Lepisosteus oculatus: one gene and its partners. The protein of the gene in region 2 interacts with the protein of the main gene of each other region in a biochemical or structural test. Links are inferred from orthologs where the notes say so. Each region holds a gene or a part of one and is shown on either strand. Other genes may lie near its edges.

Region 1 (7,945 bases), about 14 Mb from region 2:
GGAAGGTTGTTGTTATTGGGCATTGCAGATGCCATAGGAATGTTGCTATGAGGGTTAGCACAGGCCTGGCTCCCAGCAATGGGCCCTTCCAGTTCTGGGGAATTTAAGAGCTGAAACAGGGGACCCTCCTGAGGGATATCAAGGGAAGGCATTTCTTGTTTGATGAAGATACTGTTGATGTCTGCCCCTGCAGCAGAGCTGAAGACACTGGTAAACTCAGGGAGGGTCTGTGCTGCGCTGGTGCTTGGGCTGTTCGGGTGCACGAAGCAGTGCATGGGCTCAGTCTTGATCTGCGGCACCGCTGGCCTCTGGGGTCTGCACAAGCCAGTCCGAAGGTATGTGAAGTCTGGAAGAAAGACGTTCATGTTGATGCTGTATGGTGACCCTTCATCTTCGCAAAAGAACTGGTCCACCACAGAAACACTATCTCTACGAAACTTCTTTTCTTCTGGTGTTAGCAGGGGTGGTGGAGGCTGTGGCGTCAGGTACTTGTCCATCTCTGATCTTGTCTGAGAATTAAAAACCAAGAAAATCACCAAGAAGAAATTAGTGTATTTCTCAGGCAGAGAGAAATGACTCTGACAAACGATTGCAATGCTTTTCTTAATTTCACCAACTATTGAAGAAATTTAATATCTCAAAAGATAAAAATGTGTAGATTTTTAAATTCACCTAGACTGGTGTAAAAATGTTTTAAATCTGAACATAATAAGTCCAGCTGACACACTATGGAAACACCCGGTATATTCAAATTATATTCATCATAATCAATCTTCTGTGTGCCTTAAGAGTCAATTTCTAGGAACCAATTTATGATGTAGATATATCTTTAGCCTACTACTGAAGATTTAACTGCTACCACTTAAATTTTCCCTTTGGACCTTTTTAATAAACAAAATTAATATAATAAATGTAAAATAAGGTATATAAGATTGCTACTGATACATTTCATGAAGCATGAGCGTCTTAAAAATAGTGAGTGCTTCTATTTTAAACTCTGACCAAGAGTAAGCTTTGGAAGATTTGGGTTTGTTTTTTTGTCAAAACAGTATAAGTACTTCTGATCATTTTTTTTCTATACATTAATATTATGACCTTCAAATCTGCAGGGGGAACATATTACACATGACGTTTTTAAGGAAGCCAAAACAAAACACACACCAAATGTGTAACTGATTTCTGTAAATCATTTTGTCTCCTCTCTCACAGCCAATTCTGATTATTATTACATTTCAATACAAAACTGTAACAGATTTCAGTGTTTCCAGTGTACTCCTTTTATATGCATCTCTCCATTATATTTTTCAGGCATCTTTAGAAATTGCACTGTTCCGTCCTTCAGCCTCTACCTGATGTTTGAAACAAGTAGCAGAAGGAAAGCAAAAGGGTTTGTTGTTCATTAATAAAATCTCGAAAAACGTTTCGAAAGCTATGGATTGGGATGTGAGCTATCAAACGAATAAAGTCTCATGGTGTATTTCGCGTGCGTATTACAGATTAAATATTCTCATTCCACGTTTCAGCAGGGTATAATGTCAAGCTATAAAACTGTAACACTAGACTTGACATTTTGATGCCTAAACTGTAATCATTCCGTGCTTGCGCTAAAGCGCGTGTGGGTGGAAGGAGGCTGATATGTTACTAGTACAGTCATCAGCAAAACATTTATCAAGTACTCTTCAATGGACTTATGCTACATTCCCCCTTCTCTTGTAAAAACGCAGCTCACACCAAATCCCAAAACAGAATCAGCTGACAAGTGGAAAATAAGTTAAATTGCTAAGCTTTTTTCATACCACTCTGCTATCTCCCCCGATCGCGTTAAAACAAAACTAATCTTCTGTCCAAATCATGTGTGGAAATTTCACTTATTTCTCTAATGTAAGTGATATGCTCGAGTAACCGAAAAAAAAATCCTTTAAACTGGAACAAAGCGCTAGAAGTGTTCTGCTAGGCTATGGTTAGCTATTTCTGAATTTAGATCTTCCAGCTGTTCACTGCCCAGTATCTCTTTCAAAACGGTTTTCTGATTAAGGTCTGCGTTGCTGGGAAGTTTCTCCCAGTCTGCGAGCCAGCACTGCGAGTGGGCGAGGGGAGTCAGTTGTCGACGAGATGGTGGTCAAGTGCACACAGCCGTACAGCAACTGTACTGAGCGCTCACTCCATGCCAGAGACCTGGCTTCCAACTTCCAAACAGCTAAAAATGCCCTCCGCCCACACAGTACCTCCCACCTTCATTCCTACCCCGGACTGGAAATAAACATAGTTTTAAGATTCACTTACATACTATTTTCCTTTATTCATACATATATTTACAGTCGTACCAACTACGGATGTCCTTTTCTTAGTAATGATACGAAACCATTCAAATCCTGCGCGATTTTAGCAGGCTCTCTCTTCGGGGAAAAATAAAATACAAAAATAGCAATCTAAACAAAAACATCTAGACTATCACACCATATCTGATATTTATTTTAAAAAGTATTGAAAAGGAATGAAAATATCGTCACTAGAATGTCGTGTTCTATTCAGGCAGCCTTCAAAGGAGACGAAGGGACTGTTAAAATGCAAACCAAGTTTTAAACAAATACATCAATAGCTATTGAACAGTGCAAAAGAAGGCGTTCGCAAAAAGCCTGACTTTTTAACTTGTAGCTCCCAGGAGAACCTTCACTGAAAAGTTGCAAATCTAAAACTTAGTATGTCCTACCTGCATAAAATCGTTCGTTAAAATCCTGGCACTGGCCGTATTCTTCATGTCTCCAGCAAACAGCGACAAGTCTCTCTCCTGGTTACCTTCAGACAGCGTTGGTTTAAGAAGGGCATAAAACGGTTCGTCCTGCCCCGGACCCAGCCCTGCAGTCATCGTTAACAGAGTGGTAGTGGCCATGAATGTCAGCTACAGGGTGCAATACCCAGTGTGGTATATTCCAGTTAGGTTTTACTTATGCTATTCTTTCAGAGTGCAAATAGGAAAATCACACGAACGGAAAGATCTCCGGTAGATTTCGCGCGGTGCTCCACCCAGCTCGCCGTTGTTGGACTTTTCTGATCTAACATCGCCTCGGTCACTTTTTCTCTGGTTCGCCTCGGGGCGGAGCCAAGGTGATCGGATTGACAAGGGGGAGGCTAATTACTATAAACCGTAGTAGGGATTACAATCATTGAAAATCTTGAGAATACTTTATTACTCAGCGGGTTTGGTGTACTGCGGAGTGTTCAGAAGCATTCTTCAGCGAAAATGCACAAGGTCTGGATATGATTCACATCGTTTCGGGAACAAAAAGTAACAATGGTGCCACATACAGTAGTAACTTCATCAGACTCAAACCACAGCAGGTCAGTGAACGTGCGAGTAGGGTGGCACGTATTTGTTTTTACACGTGACAACATTTGTAGCCCCTAAACTGTGGAAAACATATTTATGTAATGTACTGGAAAACGAAGTACTGTATCTTTTTGTTTTTCATAAGTGGAGCTGGAGGGGAATTCCAGTTACAGCAGTTTAGTTTATTCTGAGCACCTCGGGCCAAGGGTAACTAGAAGACCCGGATCGGCTCGAAACTCTTAATGATAAAGGAATGCATTCCTATTTTTAAACGCTGTGTGTGCAACAAATCAAGACCCGGGAGACTTTGAGCGTTAGAAATATTTCGCACGGTTTTTTTTTCCAAAGCCATCCTATCCATTTAGCTCCCACAAATGCCGAAATCTTCGTTCATGATGTAGGGATAAAGGATGTCCTTTGAATTACGTCCCAACGTCTAAAATTGACCAACCACCATAGCCATTAGAATGTAAAACCTTCGGCAACTGCATCTTTAATATACATCATTTAAAAACAATTTTAACCCCGCTTTTGTTTGGGTGTGTAGTTTCATCCAGATAAATTTGAAAACAACGCCCCGGGCGATCTCATTTCCATTTAACCTGCTACACTACGTTTGCGTGCTAGATGTGAAGTACAGTTCGCAGGACCTGTGAACAGGGGATTTGTTTAAATGCTGCCTCTTTGTTTCTTTCCAAGAAGGAGGCGACATAAATGCTGTCAAGTGAAACACCCGACATACTGGCAATCGTATGATTGTGTATCTAGAAGCCAGTATTTAAAAAAAGTGAAGTATGTTAGTCCACCAGTTCAGCATTTAATGCAATTTAGGAACATCAATAGAAACTCGCAGGGTAAAACATATTTTAAAAAATACTAGCTCAGCAGTAAGATATTATAAAACTCATAACAGCAATTTATTATATTTGGAATGTCCTGTTGAGACCTTATTAAATAACAACGCGCTCCTGCTATTTAAAATGTGATTGATTTTTTCTCCCACCTTGAACAGCAGGTGCAGTTTATCCCATTTGGAAACCTTTGGAAAGAAATACACAAAATGCAAATGCACAAAACTTTTATAACTTTTTAAATACTTTTTTTTGGCTTTCCCCACATCGGTTAAAAGTGTGCAGTTTAGGTCTGCTTCATCCAGCCATTTAAAAAAGCTGTACCCGAATGACAGAAAGGAAATTATTCTAGTGGCAAGAAAATAAAAAAAATAAATTGGTAACACAGCAATTAGTGATTTGTATTCTGTCAAGACAAAATGTATTTCTCCTTATTTTCTACAGTATATTTTAGAAACTATAATCATATGACGGAAAATGCTGTAAAAGAGACGAACCAGGGGAGGACCGGCTAGCACGAGTGCATTACGGTTTATGTTAGATCCACGGTCCCAGTTACCTTGTTGGTCTGATTGTTTAATTAGCTGCATAATTCTGACATTTTACGCTCCGAGGTTATTTATCAGAAACTGCACCTTTAAGGAAGTGAATAACTGTAAAAGACCGTAGTGGAAAAAACCCGATATACGCAAAATTCAGAAAAACAATCAGGTTTAATTGTTTAATTGCCCTGCACAGGTTGGAACTGAAATCTGATGAGAAGACATTCCAAGAAATGTGCTTAGAGACAACATGACACACCGTGGCTTGCTTGGTAGTTAGTAGCTGGTCAATTTCAGGATTTCATCCAGCTGGTTTTGGAAAGATGCCAGGGATGTGGCATCAAGTGTAGCTGGGTAACTTGCTACTCAATCCTACAGCCCCTGTGAAAAGATTTACCTCCTATTCTCAGTTTTAACTGCACTTCCATGTTATATCCTCCGGTTTGTGTCTCACTGGACTCGGTGCCTTTGAGGATTTTAAATACTTGGATCAGCTTTAAAAGTATTTACTTTTGAATAAACATGACTTAATGTAATATATATATATAGTATTGAATGAGGTATTTAATACTATACACTATGTTCTCTGCTTAAAAGAGCTACACACTTAACGGTAAGAATGTACTGCCCTACAGAGTAACGAACAATGCTGAGAGTCTGTAGTAACTGGATTGCTTATTTTTCAAACCCAAGTTCCTGAGTGTCCTGAGACAGTTATTGTATTTGTTAATATCAATCAGGATTCCTAGAAATGGAGCCTTTAAGGGAAGGTGATTCAGTAGAAGAAGGCCTATAAGAAGGCTGCGGTATATGTATAGTGTAGCAGTTTGGACTTTAAACTCCATACAGGTGGGTAGGGGGTACACTGGCATTGTACATGTATGTGAATAATATGTTAATCCGATTGCCCAACCAAACAGAGCCTGCATTCATTTGCATTAAACAAAACACAATATTATAATCTGTGGGACATACTTTGGAGAAAAGCATCATCCATATTTCCTTAAATACACTTAATCATCCATCCATCTTCTAACCACTTCATCCAATTCAGGGTCGTGGGGGAGCTGGAGCCTATGGATGGGACACCAGTCCATCGCAGAGCGCACACAGACACACACTCACACCAGGGCCAATCTTCCCAGAAGCCAATTAACCTCCCAGTATGTGTTTGGGCTGCTGGAAAAAACCCAGGCAAACGTGGGGAGAACATACACACTCTGCAGACAGCAGCCCAGGTAGGAAATTGAAAACAGGGTCTCTGCTCTGTGAGGTAGCAAAGCACTAGTGCAGCACTCTGCCCCTAATTATACTGATAAGCCTTGTTAATTACCCTTTCCAGCAACAGTACAATTCTAGCTCCAAACTGTGGAAATAGTAATTTAAACAAATTTAAATAATTTAAAAGTGAACAAGAAGACCATGCTTTGAGTTTAATTAATTTGTTACGCAGCAATACTTAAAGCAGAGTATAGTGAAGAAATCATATATTCAATAAATTGAAAACATTAAAGGTTCTGCTGTGCACTTATGATTACTACTGGTCATCTTTAAATAACATCAAAACATTACATGCATGTTTTCCTTATCTTTAACAAAGTATTTCAAAATACAATATATTTATAGGCTGTAATATATAGGCTCATATTAGAGACTAGACACAATACAATTTTCTTTTCCATTTTCTCTTTTCCAGTTCTAATATACTGCCTCAAAACAGAATACCACCAACACAGTTTAATATAAACATTTCAACTAAAGTTTTAACTTAGATCTTGTGAATAACTGTGTAAGGTGAAAAATGTCTTTAAGCAGTTTGGGAGACACAAAATGCATACTGTACTGTAGATCTGTCCATTAAATAATGAGATACAATGCATTTTTTGCAACATTGGTTATTGATTTTTATTACATAAGGCATCTCACAAGACATTTGATTGACAAAGAATTAAGATGCACTGATTTTACTAAATCAATCCAGCAAATTATCATATAAAATACTGTATATGCAGCAATAAATAATGGTAAACTTCTTTTTTAACAGTACCACCACCATGATTTATTTTATGATGAAAACAGAAAATTGTCACTTATTTTTATGCTTCAGCTTTTTATACCATTCAGGAGCCTCTTTATTTGTCTGGAAAAAAAACCAGAAAGAGCTTCAGTTAATTCATTCAACAGTAAAGTGCATAATGAACTCTCTCAAAAAAGCAGTCTGACAAAACATTTCAGTGTAAATGCCAAAGAAAAGTCATAAGCATACCAGACTGAACAGCCAATCACAGTTTACTTTGTTCATCTTTCATCATTAAAACAAAGAATTACCAAATATCTGATGTTCAGAAACCATTCTAAGCACTTTTGCTTTTAGCAAAAAATTCAACAAATATTTTCCAACCATGTGAAAACACTCAGGGAAGAGTCTATTATTATTATTCCACATAGTTTGACTGACTACATAAAAGCAATAATAAAAAAAAAAACACTTCTTTGATCTTTTAATGTAAGATAATGTTTAACTTTCTTGAGAATTAAGTGTAAAATGTGTGTAATACTTACAAACAAAGTTGGTTTTGGTTTGAGAATATTCTCTTCTTCCTCTGTGTTAATGAGACCTTCTGGTCTGTATATCGCTGTTCTTCTGGTTTCTTCATTTTGAGGATGAGCCGCCCCTTCACCATAGTGTTTTTGATGCATATTAATCAGAACTTGTTTCATTATAGCCAATTCCTGTTAAATAAAATGGAAATAATGAGAAAGTCACTTTATAGCAAAGCAAAGTTAATTTTGAATTACACAAGATATTCCACCAAGCATTCTTTTTATTAGCATTTTGACTCAAAGTATTTTTGGGTTCAGTGTTATCATATTGTTCCACTAATCATTGTATATAGATGGAAAATTAAATTTATTTCACCTGTAATTTGGATGCACACATACATTTATGAATGGAAGTAAGGCCTAGAGTATTATAAAACAAACCTTCTGCCTCTAGTAACTCAAACAGCTAGTGAACTATAATCCTGTACAAGGACCGATAATCCCGACAACAAGTAACTGTTGAGGAAGTTTCCTACTGTATGTAGCACATGGTGAAAAGAGAATCTGAGATTCAGAATACTTATCAAATATGTCACCAAACTAAAATGAAAATAAAAAATAAAAGACAGTTAAAACAGAGCATAGCACTCTGCGGGTCCTTTAACAATGGTTTCAGAGAG
Region 2 (7,632 bases):
AGTGATATCTAGATGCACAAAGAGAGCCTGGAACATTTACAAGATTATTTACACCTGCAGAATTTACAAAAATACATCCTCTTGCAATGAAAAAAAGCTCCGTTTTGGAAAGAGTAAAGGTTGCATATAGAAGCTAGCACTGTAGCACGGAGGTTAGGGTATCCAAGTACAAAATATTCCCAAACAAATTCTGGGCCACTCAGTCCACTATCAACCAAAAAACCAAAGCGAATATCGGGACATCAGAAAGGCCAGAGACGAGAAGAGACCATCCTAAGCAACATCAGAATAAATAATCAATCCTAAATTGCACGTCCTTGGGAGGAAACCAGAAAACCCAGTAACAACATGCCAGGTATACCCAGACAGGTACCCCCCCCCCCCCGAAATCGAACCCGAAACTCTGGAGCCAAGAGGAACTGTGCTGCCTTCATGCCTTCCAGGCGTCCAGACACGAGCTTCCAACCTGACTGCATTGCAGGAGCTGTGCCAAGATCTACTACTCAATTATTCAGCTGAACCAACAGCTGATCAGCTAAAACGATCAAGTCCTGGAAGAAAGTATGCTGGCAAGGGATGCTCTCTCCAGCATCCCAGGCTTGATTCATGCTTCACACCCTTATTCCTACAGAGACAAATCCTTACTAATAAATGCAAAGGAAATCTGCACGTTTAGCAGGTGAGCAAGGGATCTGTCAGGACAACCCAAGACATGGGATAATTGACCTGGACCTTTCTGGATCCTGGACAGGCAGTGTTGCATCAGTGGGAATGCACTGGTGCCAGGTTCAGCTTCCTATCATTTGGTAAGGATGAGGCAACACTAAACTGGGGGTGTGCAGTTCTGGTCCTGGAGAACTAGTGCGTCTGCAGTTTTCATTCCATCTCTTAACGAGCTACACCAGCTAGTTAACGGCTTAACTGGACCTGTTCAACAGCTCCGCCCAGCTCTTGAGTTACTACTACTTTAAAGACAGCTTGGAAAACCATGATACCCCAGGCTGTCCAGGACCAGGAGCATCACATATCCACACACAAAGAACATTCAACAGATTAAATCCACACACCTCAGACCAAGTTTTCAAACATTAAACGTGATATTGAAAACCCATACACCAGTCAACGCAATCTTTCACAGCCTTTAACCACAACATTCAAAACCCCTGCCCCTTCTCTGCGGAAAACGCGGAACTCTCTTTCCCTCCCCGTTGTTGCAAGCTTGTCTTCTAAATTCAGTATGACACATATTTGTGCCAAACACAAACTTCCACCTAGCTCCTCAGACAGAAAGCCGTCTTCTTTCCCGCGTGAGATATGTGGAAGGGTGCCCGACACCAGCACTGAAACGCGGTATTAATAATTCTACTGCTTGAAATAGCAAAGGCAGTACAGTACCACCCACACAACTAGTCAATGGAAGGGGATGTTAAAATTGTGGTGCGGAACTGTTTTTACTTTGTCGTGAATTATTTTCTTTTGAGCTATAGCAAGGACAACAAATACAGCAGTTAAAGGATGTCGAAGTGTCCTTCTGGCATTAAGTGAAATACGGTTGCACACTACGCTCGCCTTGTTACTCTGGCAGACACTCGGAGCCCAGTCTCTCCAATACTGTTGGTTTATCACCAATCCACTTCCTCGATGAAGTCACACAGAACTGATTATCAGCGAGGAATCGGCCTGTAGCTTTAACGCCTGACAGATGCTACATCGCAGACTGTGCAGCATGATCATCAAAATCATTTTGCACGAATCCGTGTGAACAACTGGTTCTACATTACTCTTACGCTTAGCGGTCTTATTCTAAGCGTCTACGTGTATTATTAAAATGCACGTTTGGCTTATTAGGGATGCACTTCCGTATCGAAAGCACCGTATCGATTATCGATACCGATGTCAGACCTCAACCGTGCTACGAAGGGGCCGGCTTTCTCGCCGAATAAAAACGCCATAGACCGCATAGACAAGTAACACCATCACCTCTCGACCGCCCAAGAAAAAAAAAAATCTAACAGCCAGAGCCCAAGCGTCGTCAATTCAAATCGCACGATTCAGTATGACAGACACACGCTCGCCGCCGGCGCGGCCCGGGCGCTGACAGTCGGACGCAGGCTGGGTGACACTTACTGCTGACTTTCATGCTGCCAAACGCGGACGGCGGCTGCACCGGCTTGCAGCTCTCCGCGAAGGAGGTGGTCCTGGGCCGTCCGGACATGATCCCTCTTCACCGATCTCCGTCTCCCCCACCCCTCTCTCTCTCTCTCTCGCCGCCTTTCTCTCGGCCGCTGCTGCTGCTGCTGGGATCAGATCTGTCGCTGCGGTCTTCCCCCCGGTCGGAGCCGACGGCCAGCGTATCTCGGCAAACGGAAGCAGCTCCCCACGGCTCTCGGCCCCTTCCCGGTTTCACTCGATTCCTGGCGTCTCCTGTCCACCCAGACCCGGGTCTCCTTTCAAATCATCCCTTTTTCTCCCAGGGAAAAAAGGCCCCTTTCCTTGCTTCGTCTTCTCCTCCTGCTCCAACGATCAGGCCTTCAAAAGAAAAACGTCTTTGATTTCCCAGTGTCTCATGGAAAACGGCTAACCTTTCTCTCTCCTCCCCCTCCACGGTATCTTCTATCTTTTTTTTTAAAAAAAACTCCCTTTAATTTATTTTAAGGAACACAAGGTCGCTTAGATCTTTTTTATTTAAAAAATCGGATCCGATTTGCTTTTCTAAAACGCAAACTTTCTCTTAAAATATCGCCGATTACACAAGGCAGCCACGAAAATCTGCTTCATATTCTGAGGTGGAGACTCAATGATCCGACAGCTTCAGCCATGGCGGCTTCCTTGCTCAGCCCAACCAACAATTCAAATGAAAAATTTCCAATTTCCCGATTTTAAATCAAAAGATCTCCCCAGTTCTTCCGCCTCTTCCGGCCCCATACACACAGATGTTATAATCTGAACTCTCTGGGATAAAGCCGGGGGTCGAAAAAGTGCCTTAGATGCCTAGTTAAGTGGGAAATAGCAATTTTGCCACTCTCACAAATTCAGAATTTCTTTTTCTATTCCGTCTCCGTCTGTCTCTGTGCTCGCTCTCTTTGTCACTCCGACCCGCACAACGTCATTTGCGTAATGTACGGACAAAGGCGCCACGGCTAATTGCGAACAGCGTGGGCTACGTCACCAGACTGCAGTAGCTGCTGTGCGAGAATCGGACATTGTGAACGCGCAAGCAGACGTGAGGAGGTTCTGTCAGCCAATCTGGAGCGAGACGGGCGGAGAGATCCGGGGGTTGAGGGCCAATGGGACTGCGCCCCCCCCTCCTCCCACCTCCCATGCCCCCATTTTTCCGAAGATAGCCGAATGCCACCAGCTGTAACGAAAACGACCATAAATAGGTAACAGAGGCGGGCTGAGGTGGGTTTGCGTCAGGAGTGACTGAGCAAAGTCCAATCGAATTTTAGAAGGACGCCGGGTGTTCACCAATCTCGTTGGTCGTGAGTGCAAATTACGCAGCAAAGAGCAAGGCCGCTCTAGATTAACCATAGATATCCCATATCATGCTAGAGTCAATTACGTTAGCGTACTTCAAAATGGGCGCCATCTTTAGAAGGTTAACCTAACTGTTGGTAATTTGGACAGATATCTAAAAATGTGCTCTGCTTCTATGTCTACTCTCGCAAATGTGAGGCAGGTGTCAGTTACAGGAAACATTTCTTTAATATATTTGTGAACTGTCCAGAAGACATCAACATGGGGGTGTAGCAATACTGCAAATGAAACAACTGGGAACACCATGGAACTGCATTTAAAATAGAACACAAGGAGAATAGGAATTTCTTACCACAGAGATTTGTGGGAGTTTAAAACAAGCTTCCCACCTGTGTTTGTCCTCCTCTTGTGTAAACTTTCTTATGTTATTTTCTGGTGAAGACATTCATTAGGTTTTAACATGTTTGTTAATAATAATTGCTTACACTTATATAGCGCTTTTCTGGACATTCCACTCAAAGCACTTTACAGGTAATGGGGACTCCCCTCCACCACCTGGATGATGTGACGGTAGCCATAGTGCACCAGTACACTCACCACACATCAGCTATCAGTGGGGAGGAGAGCAGAGTAATTAAGCCAATTCATAGAGGGGGATTATTAGGAGGCCATGATTGGTAAGGGCCAATGGGAAATTTGGCCAGGACGCCGGGGTTACACCCCTACTCTTTTCGAGAAACGCCCTGGGATTTTTAATGAGCACAGAGAGTCAGGACCTCGGTTTTACGTCTCATCCAAAGGACAGCACCTGTTTACAGTATAGTGTCCCCGTCACTATACTGGGGCATTAGGACCCACACAGACCACAGGGTGAGCGCCCCCTGCTGGCTCCACTAGCACCTCTTCCAGCAGCAACCTTAGTTTGTCCCAGGAGGTCTCCCATCCAGGTACTGACCAGGCTCACACCTGCTTAGCTTCAGTGGGTTACCAGTTGTGAGTTGCAGGGTGATATGGCTGCTTTAAGATATGGCTTAAAAATATTTATTAATGGTGTTTTAATAATTTCTATCAACTAAAGTATCACCACTATTTATATCATTTGTTTGTATTGTTAGCAACAGTATGGTGACTATTGTAAGACAGGGACTTGTGCATGCACATTCTCTCACATAGGTACGAACAGTGGAGGTGTATATAGTGCTGGGTTGTGGGATATCTACGAGTTTGGCAATTTGTTCATGAGGTGTTGTGCAGAAGGGGCTACCATATCATTTCATGAGTGGCCTGCGACAGGTTTGAGCCTGACGCTACAAAAGCAAAAAACAGAGTCATTCTCTGGTGAAATAACAGTGATCACTGCTTGTGGTTTTGAGCGAAAACAGTCCACGTTGCTTAAAATACGTAAGCAACTTTATCACTAATAAGCAGTTAAACATGTTCTGCACACTACAGGATCCCTGACATCAAAGCCTGCATTAACAAGGGCTCACCTCCACTGTTTTATCAGAAGATCCTGTGGAGATATTCAGGTACAGTTAGCCATTTGCTTGCTCATTTTACAAGATGTTTATAGTGCCATATACAACAAGGAAAACAGTCAGGCACTTCATCAATATCTGTCTTGTATTGTTACGATCTTTTCAGGCAAAACATAATATTGTTCAAGGGGGCATTGTGTTTGTGGGTTTGCTCGGTCTCTACAAAGCACACTTGAAGAGCCAGGAAAAGCTAAGATAAGATAAGAAGCTGTTCCAGTTGTGAGAAAATGACCTGATTGTGGTTGTTTAGAGCTGAGCTGAAAACCTGAAGACAAATCCACTGCAGGCAGGTGTCCATTTTTTAAGTGTTGTTCAGTTATTTAATTCAGCTGGTATTCACTCAGCAAAAGCATTGCTTCAAAACTCCTGACAGCATGTGGAAACAGCATGTGTGCAAATTCTCACACAAGGCCAGACTTTTCATGTGAATATTCACATTTAAAAAAAAGTTGTATCCATATTCAAATCAGCATGGATGTTTGTTGAAAAAGATTTTAGAAGCCAAAGTGAGATGTGCTACATCATCGCTAGAACAACGTGGATATTGGCTCCAATCTCCAAAGCATCCCAGCTTAGTTTCTTCCCTTAAAATAATACTGTAAAGACCATGCGCCCCCTAGCTGCAGGAAATGGGACTTCACTCTAGGCTCCAATGGCCCTGTTTGCCATACAGGCACTGTGGGAGCACAATAAAAATTATAATATTAATAATTGCTTACACTTATATAGCGCTTTTCTGGACACTTCACTCAAAGCGCTTTACAGGTAATGGGGATCCCCTCCACCATCACCGTAAGTAGTACAAGTTGTACAAGCTGTAAGTAGTTCTAATTGTTACCCTCATTACATTTGATTGCTGTTCGTGCTGCCATATTCTGTTAAGCTGCGTGTTTTTCTTGTTGTTGTCGCATGTTTACAGAGTATGTGTGAGGGGTGTGTGGAAGGGGCTGAACCACTGTAACACCCCGCCTTCATATCTTAGAATGTGGGAAGAATGCAGGAGTGTGTAGCAGTGGTCAGGATTTCTAAACTCGTAACTGGAAGATTGTTCAAACCCTAGGTTAGTCACTGTAATAATAATAAGAATAGTTTATTATTATTATTATTATTATTATTATTATTATTATTATTATTATTATTATTATTATTATTATTATTACACTTATACATGGCTTTCTGGACACTCCACTCAAAGCACTTTACAGGTAATGGTGACTCCCTCCATCATCACCAATGTGCAGCCCCCACCTGGATGATGGCAGCAAAAGTGCACCAGTACGCTCACCACACGCCAGCTATCCGTGGGGAGGAGAACAGAGAGATGAAGCCAATGAATTCACAGAAAAGGATTATTATGAGGCAGTGATTGGTAAAGGCAAATGGGAAATTTGGCCTGGATACCAAGGTAAAACCATTACTCTTTTTTAGAAGTGCCCTGAGATTTTAAATGACCACAGAGAGTGAGTACCTCAGTTTTAAGTTTCATCTGAAGGACAGGGGCTCTTTTTTTACAGTACAGTGTCCCCATCACTATCCTGGGGCATTAGGACCCACACAGACCACAGGGTGAGTGTTACCTACTGGACCCACTAACACCTCTTCCAGCAGCAACCTTAGTTTTTCCCAGGTCTCCATCCCAGTATTGACCAGGCTCACACCTGCTTAGCAGCAGTGGGTTGCCAGTTGTGAGCTGCAGGGTGATATACCCCTGAGCAAAGTAGTTGAGCTATTCCAGTAAAATACACAGGTGTATAAATAGGTGGAAATGTAAGTCACCAAGAAATAAAAGTGTCAATAATTAAATTAACTTGTAATCTCCATTGAAACTCTACAGCAAAGATACCCAGTCCATGTATCAAATGTGAAGGCTAAACATAGATGTCTATCTCCACGCCTGCTTATTGGAGTGACAGAAACTTTCAGCGTATGCTGTGTGTAACGAATACACCCCTGCGTATGACAGGGATCTCAGTTGCCCAGACTGGGGAGGTCTCCTTTAGCTCAGCCGGCAAGTTCCCTGTTGCATGACGCCGGAGACCCGGGTTCGAGCCAAAGCACCGAAGGACGAACTGGCAGGGCAGGAGCGGCAAGGGAGGAAACCCCAAGAACCCTTACATGTGCAACTAAAGTGTGTATTAGCTGGACATCTATCACCTTGAAGTTTGTTGTGGTCGATCTCTGAAGCTGACTACAGCTAGTTAATATGAGCATAAAAAGCCCCTTACTGTACTTCAATCCAAAGCTACAAAGTTCTCTTCGCCCAAGCATTTCAATGCAGATTTCACAAATTCACTACAGACAGCAAAATGAATCATGTTGGATACTTTAATAAATTTCTACTTTAAAACCTAATGGTCTGGATGATGATTTTGAGTTAAAAAGGTTTTCTGCGAAGATGATAACATTTATGAATAGGCCTTTTACAATACATGTTGACTTAGATTTGTCACTGTCTTTCCCCCTCAGGTACATCATTATTATTCTTTGACCAACTGACCCTCTCTGCATAATACATGCTTCACTGGTTTAAATGAATTCACAAGATTTTTAATCGCGAAAACGTTTTTGTCTTCATAATTGATTGCCGCTCTCCGTACCATCCCATACCTTAAGCTAT
Region 3 (7,149 bases), on a different chromosome or scaffold from region 2:
AGGTCTCAGAGTTTGGGCTGGTTTCCACAGAGACCTCCATAGGAACCACAGAAAGATGTTGATCTTCAATGCGTGGCAGCCCCATAAACTCTTGTTCAGAAAGCACAGCGTCTGTCGCTAATATGGGCTTCATTCCTGCAGTAATATCAGGAAGAATAATTACACGACCATTATTTCAAATGATACAGTTTTTATTGTGGTATTTAAGGACAAAACAGCAAATTCCTCACTGTGCACTGTGGAACTCCACTGTGTTTAAAATGAGGAATGGTCACAGAGTCCATATTAATCTCCACTGCTCTCTGAGGGAGGCCCGTAGGAGTAAGGTCCAGAACAATCTGCCAACACCTTAAGCCATCAATGCCACCTGCACCTTACATGCGTAATACTTTCTACTGAGATGCCCCCAAGCTTCTAACTACCACTTACTATAAGTACCTAGTACTACTAGCTAATTAGTATACTACTAAGTCCCTTTAGTTGTTGTACAGCCTTTAAATATGTAGCTTCTCTTCTCATTCTCAAACAATGGCCTTGTTCCAAGCTGTAAAAGAATGCTGCCTCACCCCAGTACCCGTTCCACACCACATACTGTACATGAGCCAGTTCTCACTTAGATCTGGAAACGGACACACAGACACACAGAACTGACCACACAAGCTGATGCCCCCAACCCTATCCCAGCAGGCGCTGTCCCGTACCCTGTCAGTGTGAAGTCCCTCTTCTGGCAGCAGGGTGTGCAGTAGTGTAGGGGCGACTTCTTCAAGATGCAGGGCCCTGCACAGCTCCGAGAGCTCCTCCTGACCCAGGGACCCCGAGCCGCTGGTGTCGAAACTGTCGAAGACTTCCTTCAGCTGAGCCTCGTACTGGTCCTGCTGGGCTTCATCCATCCCATAGCACAGAACCACCTGCCCGCTCACCCTGGGAGCAAGAATGACAGGGAGAAAGGGAGAGATTTAGGAAACCCTAACTCACCATTGCTGAGATATTGCATTGAGGAGAATTTCCCGCTCAGCTGGTGAGGAAAATTCTCCACAATGCTTTCTTGTCATCTTGTCTTGCTGGGACTATGGATCAAGCTGCCCAGCTATGTTTTTGAAGCTGATACCCTGGATCTTCTCAAGAAATGGCTGGATCGGATTCCTGGAATAATTAACAGTCAAACAGGCCAGATGGGATAAAATGTTTTTAGGTTCTTAGGTTATTTTTAACAGACCTCTTCACTTTGAGCAAAATAGAAGTGTTTTTGCCTTCTAAGATTCTTAAATAGTTCTGTTCATGCCCACAATCTCCATCTTTACAAGACCACTGAAAATCTCAAAATTAGCTTTCAAAAGCAAACAAGTAGATTCCGTGCAATACCAGTGAAAATTGGGTTGAGAAATATTCTATGATTGAGTCTTTTCTTAAACTGACGTACCAAATTTACAGATTTTTAAACAGAAATTCCAGTTCAGGTCTTCTAGGACATTAATTAAGTTTAATGTTCTTGTAAGCCTGTTATTCTTCCAATGAACCATATTGATTTTAAACTTAAATCACTTAGGCATGAAAGCAGACACCACTGTGAAGTTAAATGCCACAGATGCACTAAAACTGACTGAACAACCAGAGACATCTTAGTTTCACCTGTTGAAATTCCAATGAAGAACTTCGTTACTAAGCAGGGAGAGGAACAGGGTATGGGATAATAGAAACAAGCAGATTAATAAGACAAGGTGAGTCACTTGCCTGTAGGGACAGAAACACCCAGTACAGCAGGAAGGGATTGAGAATGTACACTACTAAGATTATTCTAAAGCAGGTGTCATGGACTAAAAGTGTAAACAGCTGCTTAACTTCTTTTTAGAACTACTTCAAAAAAGATCGTAAACTAACAGCCATTGTAAATTTTGCATGTATGCAATCTAGTGCTATAAATAGTTGATTAAGAGAGAACTGTGGGTCAGCTGAAATATCTTTTTAATCTATCTGTAATAAATCTGGATTGGATCCATGCCTATCACTGAATTGGTGTCACAGCAGTATATTTAGAATTGTTTCAATCCAGAAAAAATGTTAGACTTTCTGCACAAATAAGAGATTTTTTTTGTGTAAAAATGTTTACTTTAACAGTATCACTGAGTCGAATCCAACACAGTAAGATTGAGCTTTTCTTGTGTTTTCAAAGGTTTCGAAAACAATCACACTATTCTGCTCTTTACTATTTTTACTAATCTTTACGTAAATATTTTCTCAAATGGATGTCAACAATTTCATGTTTTGAAGGACAATGTTTTTTTATTTTAATGAGCAGCAAAATATTGTCATCTGTTGTCTTAACTGTGTCCCATGCTACAGCTTTGGATGTTGATAGGTCAGAATAGTATATTTTTATTGTTGTAAATAATTTTCAAAATTCAGAACATTTGCACCATAGAGCATAGTCCTAGGTTCCTCATGTGTAGTGTCTTACTGTGAAAAGGAGTTCAAGATTTTTTTTATCAGAATAAAGTGATTTGTTTAGTATATGCTGGCTTGGCTTGCATCATCACCAATGCAGTCATATTGATTCAGAGGTCTTGCATGTAACTGACTGTGTCCTGAATTTTTGTTCACATCATTGGCAAACCTCTCATTCAGTCTTATGATCGAGCCCCACTACTTCAAAACATATGAAGGTGGCCTCTGTGAGCAATTGCAAAAGTTTGCTTTTGTGGGTTACTCTAAAAGCTAAAATGGGAGAAAAATATGAACACTGCAGGAGAGAGGATGAAGGAGAAGCGGTATATCTTGATGTTTCTGTTTACATTCAGTCCAAGATCCTGTCCCTGTCCGGATAACAATCAGGCTACTGTGTACAGTATGTTTGCTGAACGTACAAGGTGAGAAAGATAATTTTACCTTTGACCTAAGACATCTCGCTGGCCAGCACACAGACCCAAAATCCTTTTGTGGTCAGATGGATTACCAATGTTGCTAAGACAGGAGTTCATGGAAGGGCAAAACTACTTCCATTCCTTCACCTGGGCAGTCAAGGCCAACTGATCTATTAGATAAGCAGTATTAGTACCTTAGTGTCTGGACAGATAATGCCATACCAGTGTGGTGTAGAGATCCTACACACATTCAGAGGAAAGACAAACAATGTTGTAAAACCCTCCCCTCTCTGACTTGGTTTGTAACCTGTTTTGTCTCACTGGATTTCTCTCTAAAGCTAACTTCACAGTACAGGAGGGCTACTGTACACTATGGTTCTTCCTCCTAACTTTAATCTCATTGAAAAGACAAGCATATTCTACCCTGTTTAACCTACAAGAGAGCAAAACATTTCCCTGGTGACTTCAAAACTCCAAAACTAGGCAAAGTTCACAACTAGTCAATTCAACACCTTCTCCGGTGTTCTGAACATTTTTATAGAGAGGATGGTTGCACACAGATGTAGCTGATCTTTACCCTCTCTACCTCATGCGAAGGTCTGGACTTCTTCTCTGATTGGTCTCAGAATTCACACACCCACAGTGCAAACCATCTCAGAGAAACAGTTGTTTCCCTTCACATACCCTGTCATAAATTACCCAGTGTCAAAATAGCTGAAATCTTGGGTTTTGATCATTTCACAGCTGTGTTCTTTTTACTTGCATAATTAAAATAAAATATCTAATAGATAAAAAGCTGATTTTGCCAATTTCCTTTTAAAAATGAGCCCTTCAGAGAAATACACGACTGGGGGTGAAGAGAAAAGGGGATTTGTGTTGTCTAATGCAATTTACATCAATGAAACACAACACATTTGGACTTACACATCCAAAAGGCTGAACAGATGATCAGTGATGATAAACAGGCTGATTCCACAGCCACAGGAGTATGTTAGGGTAGGAAATAAATAGATGTAATAGAAAAAAGCAGATAAAAGATAAAGATATGAAATAAGCAAATAAACAGACTACTGATTTCCTAGATAGAATCATCAGTTTCCAAATTAATAAAAGCACATTATGTCAACGTGATCACACACAGCAATTCAGCATGTGATATAATGCAATACATTAATGTAAAGCTTTATCTGACATAACTACCAGATTTGGTCATTTAAGAGCCTATAACCCACAATTCAGTGATAAAAGGACAATATCAAAAACCTAATTTAAATTTATCTATGTATGCATTATATTATAAGAAAAAAGTGTGTTTTAGTTACAGAATAAATTCTGTTGCTTCTGGGAAAACTGTCCCAGGTGTGAGTGTGTGTGTGTTTGTGTCTGTGTTTGCCCTGCAGTGGACAGGCATCCCACCCAGAGTGTATCCTGCCTAGTGCCTGTTGCTTGCCAGGATCCTGTACTGGATAAAGAGGTTAGAAAATAGATGGTGTATAATTTCTCCTGGTGATCAACTTGGAAGCCCTCTTCACTGGGAGCTAATATGGCAGACCAAAATGGACTGAGGCAGACTGTCTACAGAGTGCACCAAGCTGTGACTGTGCAGGGAGGAGACTGTCTCACAGGACCCACTCACAGCTGCAGTGCACTAGTCCTTCAAAAGGACCACCATCAGCCAGGTGTCCTTGAGCAGGCCCAGGGAGCTCCATTCAGCGCAGACAATGGACTTTTTAAATGCAATCACTGCACTGCACTCTAGTGTGTCAGATGAAATACAAGTGAATTAGCACTCTGCAATACATTAGTACTGATGATTGCAAGGTTGATACAGTAGTTAAACATCATCTCCCTACTTATTACCTCAGCAAATAACTCATGCTTTCAGAGCAATTAAGAACATTAGCACATGAAACCAAAATATAGGATACAAAGGATAGGATGTTTAATAATGTGGTTCATAAAACACACAATGAAACAATTTACTGTCTCTATATCAGAATGGGCAATGCAGGTGCCATACCACCTAATATTGTTCTCAGAATGTATATATTGGCAAAAAGTATATTTGTAAATGTTTGAGTTAAAAATATATATGTATTTTTAATAAAAAACTGTATTTTTTAACATCCACATGTAAGATATTTGAACAGTTATGGCCTTTACTTTGCTCCTAATTACCTTCATCATATACTGTAGAAGAGCTCAGGTGGTTAATTACCTCTTGGCAAGCTCCAGGTCTCCTTATGAGACCAGGAATCAACATAATGACTTTGATTCCATTCTCTCCTGTAAGCAGACTGATCATATTCTGCACCAAAAGGATGTCAACTACATGACAGTAAACCAGCGAGAAGCCTGCATTTGTGGTGTTAATAAATACTGTAAATGCACTAAAAGTCTGAATTGTGAATGACATTTCTGCAGCTAGCACTGTACTCGCTCATAATACTTGGGAATAAGTATCCTGAAAGGCTGGGAATATAAACTCAGCAGAAGAAAAGGTCATTTCCTTCATTCACTGTATGACTTTTGATCAAGGTGCTTCAGCTGTCTAATAGATCCAGACCTAAATGCATAAGGATCTACTATCAACTAGACACAGAATCCTTCCCCATGTGTTATATATGTAGTAAACAATGCATGGACTAATTCTCCCAGCTAAGCTAATGGAAAGGGGGTGTTTCTTCAGCTAAACAGAGAGTGTTTAGGCCTCAAGGTCATCTGTTACCAAAACTGGTTATCCAATAAATGAAACTGTTTTTACTATGACTGATGAGACTGTACTGTTTCTGAGAATGATACCACACAAAAGGCTCAACAACAAGGTTAATTTGGGCTTAAGCAGGTGTACCATCAATGCAATAATACGCCTTTTCACTGGACACAGGCTCCTGAGATTACTCAGTCATCCTTTCATTTTTACATTTTATGTTATCTATCGTACCTGATGACTTGAACCATGATGGCCTCGTTACAACAGACAAAAGCCCATTGTTAATACTACATATTTTTACTTTTGATAATCAAGTAGTATTTTCATAGGTACATAACGCTATTTGCCTTTAATACACTGGCAAATAACAATACACCCTAATGCATGGATACTGGAGACGTACAGATTGCGGCCTCTACTAATTGAGTATTACCAAAGTAATATATAAAAAGGGCAGACTTGAAAATAAATACTTCGTTGGTGTTATACGTCATTGTTGAAATACAGGACGGATATAGGAAGACGGTGTGTACATAACCTGATGCTGCAAACCGAAAAAAAAGTCAAATATTATTTTCAAACTAATACAAACAAGATAATAACACACGGACACTTAAATGACACAGAATTGATGTGTTCTACGTAAAGAAACCGTCAGGAGACGTGTTTTTGAGCTGCCGGCGGAATGAATAAGTTTGTGTCAAAATACATTTGCATTTGTAGTCCGCCTCCCAGTCGGCTTTTTCAAAGCACAACAGCAGAGATCTGTCCTGCTTCCTTGAATCAACAGGCTACCAGCCACCGGTCTGCGCTTAGCAACGGCAAAGCAAGTTGCCAGTCAAGCCAATCAACACGGCACTGAAGCACAACAATTATGAAAAATGCAAAAACATATATTTATTCTTAATATTATGATTAAGAAGTGGCTTTATTGCTGTATAAACAATATTGATTATGAGGAGAAAACGGACTTTGGTATATGAAAACATTTTGTACAATTCATGATTTCTGCGTAATTCATACTGGAATCTAGATTAGGCATCAACAAAAGTGAAAGTTGATGTAAATCATTCCCTTATTTATATTTAAGTGGCCCAAACAGGTAAATTCCTTAACCCTTGGAAAACCATGGTATTTTCCACGTTGCACTTTTCTGCAGCCACTAGCTGCCCGTAGTAGGATATTTGCATTTGTAAAGCGTCCTTTCCACAAAGGAATTAGCAGGCAGAACGAATCGGATTAGAATAATGTCAATCGCCAGTGGTCAACGAACACAAGGACCGGGGCTAGGATGCAGACGGCTTCGTAGACAAAGTTTACAAAATAACAGGGATGAAATACTAAACAACTGGAGAATAAGTTTTTACCGTAGAGCACGTAGTATTAGGTTTTCGTAGAATTCGTGTTGTGGCTCTTATGTATTTGATCAGGAGCAACAATATCTGAGTGCCTTTCCGTTTTCAAAAATCTCAGGAGTCCGTGTCAATGTTAGAAAAAATAAACACCGAATAACATGTTATCTTTTGTGGTAACGATATTAATAGCAACGGCAATAATCAATAATGCCATGGATATTCA
Region 4 (7,455 bases), on a different chromosome or scaffold from region 2:
GATACAGTTTTAAATTTTTACTTTTAGAAGACTGGAAGTGAAGCTTCAGACTCTTTTTCTTCATCACCTTATTAGCACTGCTAACAACTGCTTACCATTGGGAAACGGAGTTTCTTTAGCCCATGAGTCTTCTGGTAGTGAAGAACCCGCTTGCTCTTGCTGTCCACAGCTACAATAACATCGTCTTCCTCACAGCGTGACTTGTGACCAGGCGACGACTCCTTGAAAATCATGGTCATCACAGACACGTTCTTTTCTGCCTTGCGACGATTCCTACGCAGAAGAATGATTGTGGTTCATTTGTGACTTGTGATCCACAAAATAGAACGGAAGAAAACACATCATAACTAATGCAGTTCTGGAACGCAAGAACCGTGCATCCCTCTTGAGTGAGGAAAAGCGGAATGAAACTCACTTTTTTATGCAACAGCCAACTTGCTATGAACCTACAACAATCCGGCTCCTGGAAGTCTAGCATGTCAGCAGCTCTTCATTCCAGCTCAACTAGCAAATGCCTCAAGCATCTCATCATTGGCCAATTTAACAACTTCTCGCAGTGCTTCAGGTGACGCTACCGTACGCAGAGAAAACCAGTACAGACACCTGCCCTCCAGAACCAGACATGGAGAGCCCTGGCCTACAATCCATCCATACAGCAGCTCTACACGAAGCTACATACACCCTCAGGAGTTCAGGGGCTCTACCTGTGTTCCTGCAGGGCTTGGGTGACATCGATGTTGGACACCACGTCCCCATAAACAAGAAGGAAGTCACCACGGACGAGAGACTTGGCATCGACGTCCCTCAGCACGTCCCCCAGGGAACGGTACAGGTCTGACGTGATGACGTGTACTGTGTTTGGGGAGGTCGGGCGGCACCATTTTGACTTCCTAAGGAATAAAGATGGAAATAAACACAACAGATACCAGACAGCTTTCTGCAGAGCTACAAACTTAGACGGGAACTGAAGTCCCCATTCCTCAGGACTGGTAATTGAACCTCAGTAACAAAATAAATTGACTGTGTTTGCAAAATTTGACCAGTTCTGAAACAAGCACAAAATTGTGAACTTTAAGAAAGTGCTGGATAGTTGCCATGGTGTGGCAACCCCCCAGTATCTCCAGGGGGAGGGAGCAAGAGTTCCCACAAATTGCCATGTGATGCGGCCCTTCCTGCTCACTAGTCTCCACAATGAATATTGTAATGGGATGTACAAACGTATAAATACAGGTTGTACAGCAGACATTTAATTGCAGAAATGTTCCAAAGTGATCTGCATGCAGAGTTAACAGGTACTGTAAGTAGCATTTGTAGCAATATCTTGAAGTGGATAACAATATTTCTGTTGGATTCAAATAGATGTGTTCACAAGTCCGCATGATCACAACATCGTAGCGCTGCTTCATCTCATCGGACGTTTTGTTGCCTTGTTCTGAATTACAGAATATGGCACTGCGCACACCTGGAAATGTTATCTATGTTGTGATGTAAATTGGAGCTTTAACACGTTACTGTGTATATTCTACTTTCATTGGATCTTGAAATGCACTCATCAATGCTAATTCCTTCTAATCCCAAACTATAAAAATAGCCCTACAGTTCCCCTTTAAGGTTGAATTTAAACGTAATATGTAGTTCCTGTGAAAAAAAAGCCATAAAACCTCACTGCAGATGAGTACAAATCAGTTTGAGATGCTGTGAAAACAAATCTCTTTTTACAAAGAAGGGACGTTACTCACAACAAGTGCTCTTTGATTTTATTCGACATCCAGCAACAAAAGACAAACGTTTCCTGGACACCAGTGGCGGTGAGGCATTCCAGTGTATAGTCAATCATGGCCACATTGGCCAGTGGGAACAAAGCCTGAATGACAGAAAAGCAACTGTCAAACAACCACTTCACATAAAGCATAAAGTTAAATATTCAATATTAAATATTCAGTAGACAGTAGGATGATTAATACAATTCAGAAACCAAACATAGTTGTAGCACTGATATATAAGAATGTCAGTCAATGTTTCAAATATATTTGTTTTTCCCCCCCCAAAATCAACATTATACCACTTTACAATCTTAATACTATAATTTAACATACTTCTGGGAAAATGAACATTTGCTATACTATCATACCACTATTATGAATTAATGTGAATTCGTGTGAATGTAATCAATGGTTAAGGATCCAGTTGCCGTTTCCTGAGTAAGAGATAAACAATACCCATACAGGGAGATAAAGTGAAAGTGCAACATACTAATTTAGTAAAATACTACTGGCATGAAAAACGTACGTAGGATTAATGTTATGAGCGTTTTAAACATAATTCTAAACCTAGAGTTAGTTTAGACCCAACGGGGTTTGAAAAAAGAACATTATATTTTGGACTAGAGCAAAAAAAAAACATTATATGCTGTCCCGTAAAGCCTCAGTCACAAAATTAGTTACAATGAAGCAACATAGAACTTGTACGCAAAATGTTAACGGGATACAGTTTTACATTTCTACTTTTAGAAGACTTTTCTGTTGTTAGTTATGTATTTGTGTTGCACCTGTCCCTATACATAACACGAATAAATAAATTAGAAGGTATGGAACGGAGTAATTAGAATATACAGAAATAAGAGAAAACAAAGCACTTGCTAAAGTACTGTAAGTCAGTGCGATGAATACTAGGCGATGAAAACCTGATGTCAACAGAATATGCAACGTAATATTTTTATTTAAAAATCAAGAAGCGTGCAGTCAAAACGTAAAACACAAAACGAACGTTGTTGAGAAACCAGCTTTGCATTTCATTTCACACACAGCCATGTGCACACGCCACACTGACCCTGGGCTGATCTTTAGAAATGGGGAAAAATCTCCGGGTGAAGCTGTCGGCTATCAGAACAGCCTGAAGCGGCTGCTCCTCCTCTTCTTGCCCGGCAGGACCCTTTCTGTTCGCGCTGCCAGTCGCATTGTTGGCACGGCTCTGTTTCCCAACTCTACCTGCCATGTTTCCTTGCTCGTCTCCTCTCCTGACGATCGCCAAACTACGGCAAGCGCGATGGGACAAACGTTGCCTTTGTATATGTGAAAGGGGAATACCAGAAAACTCATTTGAGTTTCTTTTTGTAGACCTTGGGTTAAAATAAGTCACTTATTTGTCAGACCAAATGCTAAACATTTAACATGATAACTATAAGATTGGGTAAAAGATATTGGGAAATATGTACAATGCAAACAACATACTTTCTTTTTTACTTGTATAGGCTTTGAGGATTATAAGATACTAAATGAACTACAACTAAAAAAGCTAAAATAACTACAATATCTTGGTATCAGCGTAATAATGTGAAAAAAAATGTGTGGGTTCATATATTGATAAGATCATAATTTAATTTTAAACATTCTGTGCCACATATACAGGGCAGCATGGTGCTTACATGTATTTACTTATAATTGCTTACACTTACATAGCACTTTTCTGGACACTCCACACAAAGCCCTTTCAGGTAACAGGGACTCCCCTCCACCCTCACCAATGTACAGCATCCAGAGTGATGCAGCCACTACATAGATGGGGATTATTAGGTAGCCATGATTAATAAAGGCCAATGGGAAATTTGTCCAGGATGCCAGGGTGATGCCTCTACTCTTTTCAAAAAACACCCTGGGATTTTTAATAACCACAGAGAGTCAGGACCTCCGTTTTACATCTCATCCAAAGGACAGCACCTGTTTACAGTATAGTGTCCCTGTCACTATGCTGGAGCATTCAGACCCACACAGACCGCAGGGTAAGCACCCCGCCTGGCCCCACTAACACCTCTTCCAGCTGCAACCTCAGTTTTTCCCAGGAGGTCTCCCATCCAGGGACTGACCAGGCTCACACCTGCTGAGCTTCAGTGGGTTGCCAGCTGCAGGGTGATACAGCTGCTGTATGCATGTCCTCCCTCTGTCTGTGTGGTTTTTCACCTTCTACTCCAGTATCCTCTAACCTAACCAAGACATGCAGGGCAGGTTTGATTGGGTGTCATAAAATACAATATCTGTTTTATTTATCCCCAGGGAGGGTTTTCAAGGAGCTTCATACTTTTTGTGTTTATTCCCAGTAGGGTACTACAGATAATTTTTTTAATTACAAGAAATCTTTCTTATTATTCCAATAATATGAAATCCAATACACTTTCAGTAGTTTTCTTACTTTAATTAAGTAGAAAGTGAGTATTTAGCTGTAAAGTAAACCACGTAGGTCCTTTCCATGCTGAAAGGTAAAAAAAGAGACACAATGTTTTGGCTGTTGGAGAGAGGAGGAGAAGGTAGCAGAAAATAAGGCATAGGAGGAAAAAAGAAAGAGTAGTTAAGACGGAGCGGTGATCAAGGAGGAATAGGGCATGTTGCAGGTGAGAATGAGTATCCAAACTCAGGATGAACAGATGGAGATGTGTGAAAAGCCAAAATCTGCAAAAGAATAGAGGGGATTTAAAGGGGGCAAAAGGGGGCAGGTGTGATCCTAATTTCAAGATTATTTTGGTTTCGGATGTCTTTCTGCAACAGGAGTTGGACCCTTACCCCTCTGTGAGGACCCAGACAGAGAGATCAGTGTGATTGTAGCGGAGCTAGTTCAGACACGGTGACGTCATTGCCCTCACTGCGCGTAGCAGGGACCTCAGCTGCCTGGGCTGAGGGAGGTCTCCTTTAGCTCATGCGGCTGGTTCCCTGTGGCGTTACGCCAGTGACTCGGGTTCGCGCCCCAGGTGCTGTGGCACGAAACGGGGTGGCGGAGGGCACAAGCCCGTGTGGAACCACGACGGTCACATGATCATGGCCGTCGGAGTTGAAATGGGGAACTACGAGTTTGGAGAGATCTTTGATCCTCACGGCCCTGACATGTTCCCTGAAACGGTCTCCTAGTCTCCTTCCTGCCTCTTCGGCATTCGGAATCAGCATTTTCTGCATTAATGAGGTTGCTGGAAATACATGATGTCATCTGAGTGAGACGGAACTGTCCAAAGGGTCCTTGATTGTGCATAGTATTGGATATGTATTTGCAGGAGATGCAGCTGGTTCTGTTGCAGGGGAAAGAGTCTGGTGTGAATGGTTGCTGTGGGAGGTTAAGGGAGCTGTGAAGAAGAAGATTGTGCAGATGAGGTGGTCAGGGATACGAGGAGGTCAGTGATGGGGAGGTCAGGAAAGAGGGTAACAGCAGAGGGGTCATCCTGTAAGATGGGTAAGTTGTTATTAATGGTCCTGGGGATAGAAAGGGTGTTGGGGTGGTAGGGCATCACCACTGAAATGCAGAAGTTCGGTACTTCCTATATGGGTTGATGATCTGAAGACCATTTTGGCTCGAGTGAGAGTCCTGTCAATAACATGTATAGGGTATCCTCTGTTAATGAAAAAGAGTGCATTCTGAGGGCTTGGTTATGGAAGTCCATGTTGTCTTTGCCTGAGGTGCCCGAGGAACTGTGAAAAGGCGAGAGAGTTTTTAGTATGTGTGGACTGAAAGGAGCTGTACAAGAGATAACGACGTGAGCCAGTGGGTTTGTAATCGACAGAAGTAATTGGAAAGGGAATGGAATTGGTCAGATAAAACATGTTTCAATAAAGCACAACAGAATGCAATATAGACGAAGAAAAGTTAGGGAACTAAATTAAAGCCTTATGATGAGATCTTAATAAAGGTTTAAATTACATTCAATTATGCGCTTGCTGTAGACAATAGTAAGTCAGGGTAGTAGTCTGAATCCTAAAATTGAGTATCTCTTGCTCAGAGTTCTAGGTTTATATGAGTTCTGCCCCTGCCCCCACAGAACGAATGTAGTTCAGTCCAAGATGATGCTGCTGATCAGAAGAAACCCTTATCGTAGTACAGTACAAGATCAATGTACATTCAACCACTCACTCTTTTGCCAGCTGCTTCATTCGATTCAGTAAGCTCGCTTGACACACACAGGCAGACACACACACTCACAACCAGGGTGTACAACACAAATAACTCACACCTGGAAGAAACTCACACAAACAGGGGGAGAACATACAAACTCCGCACAGATAACATCCCAGGTCTGGAACTAAACTCAGGGACCCCAACCACTGTGCCCCAGTGCTGGCCTTATTTCTACTATTTATTCAAATATACTGTAGTTAATTGACGTAGCTACATTGTGCCTGTTTATAACAAAGTACAGTATATGCAAAGCATGGATGTAATTAATTGAAGACTGCTTTGTATTTGCTGGAACAAATACTTATGTAAATGTACTTATTTCATACAACCAATGAAATACACTGGATCAACCTGAACTGAATTTAATTTCATCCAGACCTCCTGAACAAAAATCTTCTGAGGAGGCCATTAAGACAGGGAAAGCTTCCGTCTAATTCCTTTCAAGGACAGTGAAACGTTGTTTTGCAGGTGGTCTCCAATGATGCTCTTAATCTGAAAGAAATTAGACCTCGTTATTTCCTTTTTTTAAAACTTTTTATAATCAATCTGGGATTGGAAATTATTTCCTTATGTCTCCTTTACAACGTCTATCCAGAGGGAATGAACATGGGGCAGACAAGCTCCTCTGACCTCCATCAGAGACAAATGGCAGTCAGTGCAATGATCTGACTGCAAGGCTGCAGGCAACCAGCCAGACACAGGAGCTGCTGTTCCATTGAGAGCTGAGCGAGTGCTGGGTGGCTAATCACAATGATTCCTGAGATGACTTTCTGCCAATTGTGTGTTGTCACTTAGTAAGTCACAGTGAGCTAGGGATGAAATCCGGGCTCAGGTGTGTTACTTGTGGGTCATACAGCTCAATGTGAGCATCATTATTGGTTGAACCAATCAGAATACTGAAGTCTCAATGTTCTGAGGGCATAAGAATTAATAAGATTTTAATGAATAAAGTCTGATTCATAATTCAGTAAAATCATTCAAATATAAACCAAATCCACAGAATTTTCAATAAATAATTGTAAAATCTCAGTATTGGAGCAGATGGCAATTCTGTAAGAACCCCTACTCTCTTATTTATACATTGATAGCTGTGTCCTTTAAGTTAGTTCTATCCCTTTACATTTAGCCTAATTTAAAAGTACGATGTTATCATATTTTAATTCTATTAAATTTTAAGCAATATGTCCTTGGACATCCAACTACTACATTAATGCTCTTTCTTGTTTAAATTGCTGTTAATGAGGTGTTAAAACAGCACCTTCTAATTAAACTCATTGTGTTAGAAAAGATTGTTAACCTTCATGGACCTATGTTTGGAAACTTAAAATGTGAAGCTTCCAGAACAGGTCCATGAAGAGCAGCTTTCCCAGCCACCTCTGCCTCTACAGACTGCTGTACTTACCCCATTTAAAATAAGCCTTTCTGCTTCTGCATCAATGTTTGAAAAAGCAAGAAGAGTCAACTCCATCCTTACAGAGGCAGGCGTCACCACTGTTATCACAGGAGAAACAAACAAGTATGCCA

The links.
Region 1: of the proteins of gsk3ba (region 2) and klf5b, one has a biochemical effect on the other in vitro, tested with the Homo sapiens proteins (2 studies listed by BioGRID). The link is inferred for Lepisosteus oculatus from reciprocal best matches to the Homo sapiens genes GSK3B and KLF5.
Region 3: of the proteins of gsk3ba (region 2) and nin, one has a biochemical effect on the other in vitro, tested with the Homo sapiens proteins (2 studies listed by BioGRID and IntAct). The link is inferred for Lepisosteus oculatus from reciprocal best matches to the Homo sapiens genes GSK3B and NIN.
Region 4: of the proteins of gsk3ba (region 2) and eif2b5, one has a biochemical effect on the other in vitro, tested with the Homo sapiens proteins (2 studies listed by BioGRID and IntAct). The link is inferred for Lepisosteus oculatus from reciprocal best matches to the Homo sapiens genes GSK3B and EIF2B5.

What each region holds. Positions count from the first base shown.
Region 1 is NC_090710.1:33,615,111-33,623,055, reverse strand, and holds the start of klf5b (Krueppel-like factor 5), read right to left. Parts: upstream 3,073-7,945; 5' UTR 2,891-3,072; coding exon 2,711-2,890; intron 510-2,710; coding exon 1-509. Other genes in the region: pibf1 (progesterone-induced-blocking factor 1), read right to left, coding at 6,808-6,861, 7,284-7,454. UniProt on the Homo sapiens protein: Transcription factor that binds to GC box promoter elements. Activates the transcription of these genes.
Region 2 is NC_090710.1:19,224,117-19,231,748, reverse strand, and holds the start of gsk3ba (glycogen synthase kinase-3 beta), read right to left. Parts: upstream 3,096-7,632; 5' UTR 2,216-3,095; coding exon 2,128-2,215; intron 1-2,127. UniProt on the Homo sapiens protein: Constitutively active protein kinase that acts as a negative regulator in the hormonal control of glucose homeostasis, Wnt signaling and regulation of transcription factors and microtubules, by phosphorylating and inactivating glycogen synthase (GYS1 or GYS2), EIF2B, CTNNB1/beta-catenin, APC, AXIN1, DPYSL2/CRMP2, JUN, NFATC1/NFATC, MAPT/TAU and MACF1.
Region 3 is NC_090703.1:13,095,889-13,103,037, forward strand, and holds the start of nin (ninein), read right to left. Parts: upstream 3,002-7,149; 5' UTR 2,976-3,001; coding exon 2,884-2,975; intron 922-2,883; coding exon 702-921; intron 1-701. UniProt on the Homo sapiens protein: Centrosomal protein required in the positioning and anchorage of the microtubule minus-end in epithelial cells. May also act as a centrosome maturation factor.
Region 4 is NC_090708.1:8,500,245-8,507,699, reverse strand, and holds the start of eif2b5 (translation initiation factor eIF2B subunit epsilon), read right to left. Parts: upstream 3,049-7,455; 5' UTR 2,995-3,048; coding exon 2,830-2,994; intron 1,865-2,829; coding exon 1,740-1,864; intron 891-1,739; coding exon 705-890; intron 274-704; coding exon 96-273; intron 1-95. Other genes in the region: probable cyclin-dependent serine/threonine-protein kinase DDB_G0292550, read right to left, coding at 4,680-4,934, 5,887-5,986. UniProt on the Homo sapiens protein: Acts as a component of the translation initiation factor 2B (eIF2B) complex, which catalyzes the exchange of GDP for GTP on eukaryotic initiation factor 2 (eIF2) gamma subunit.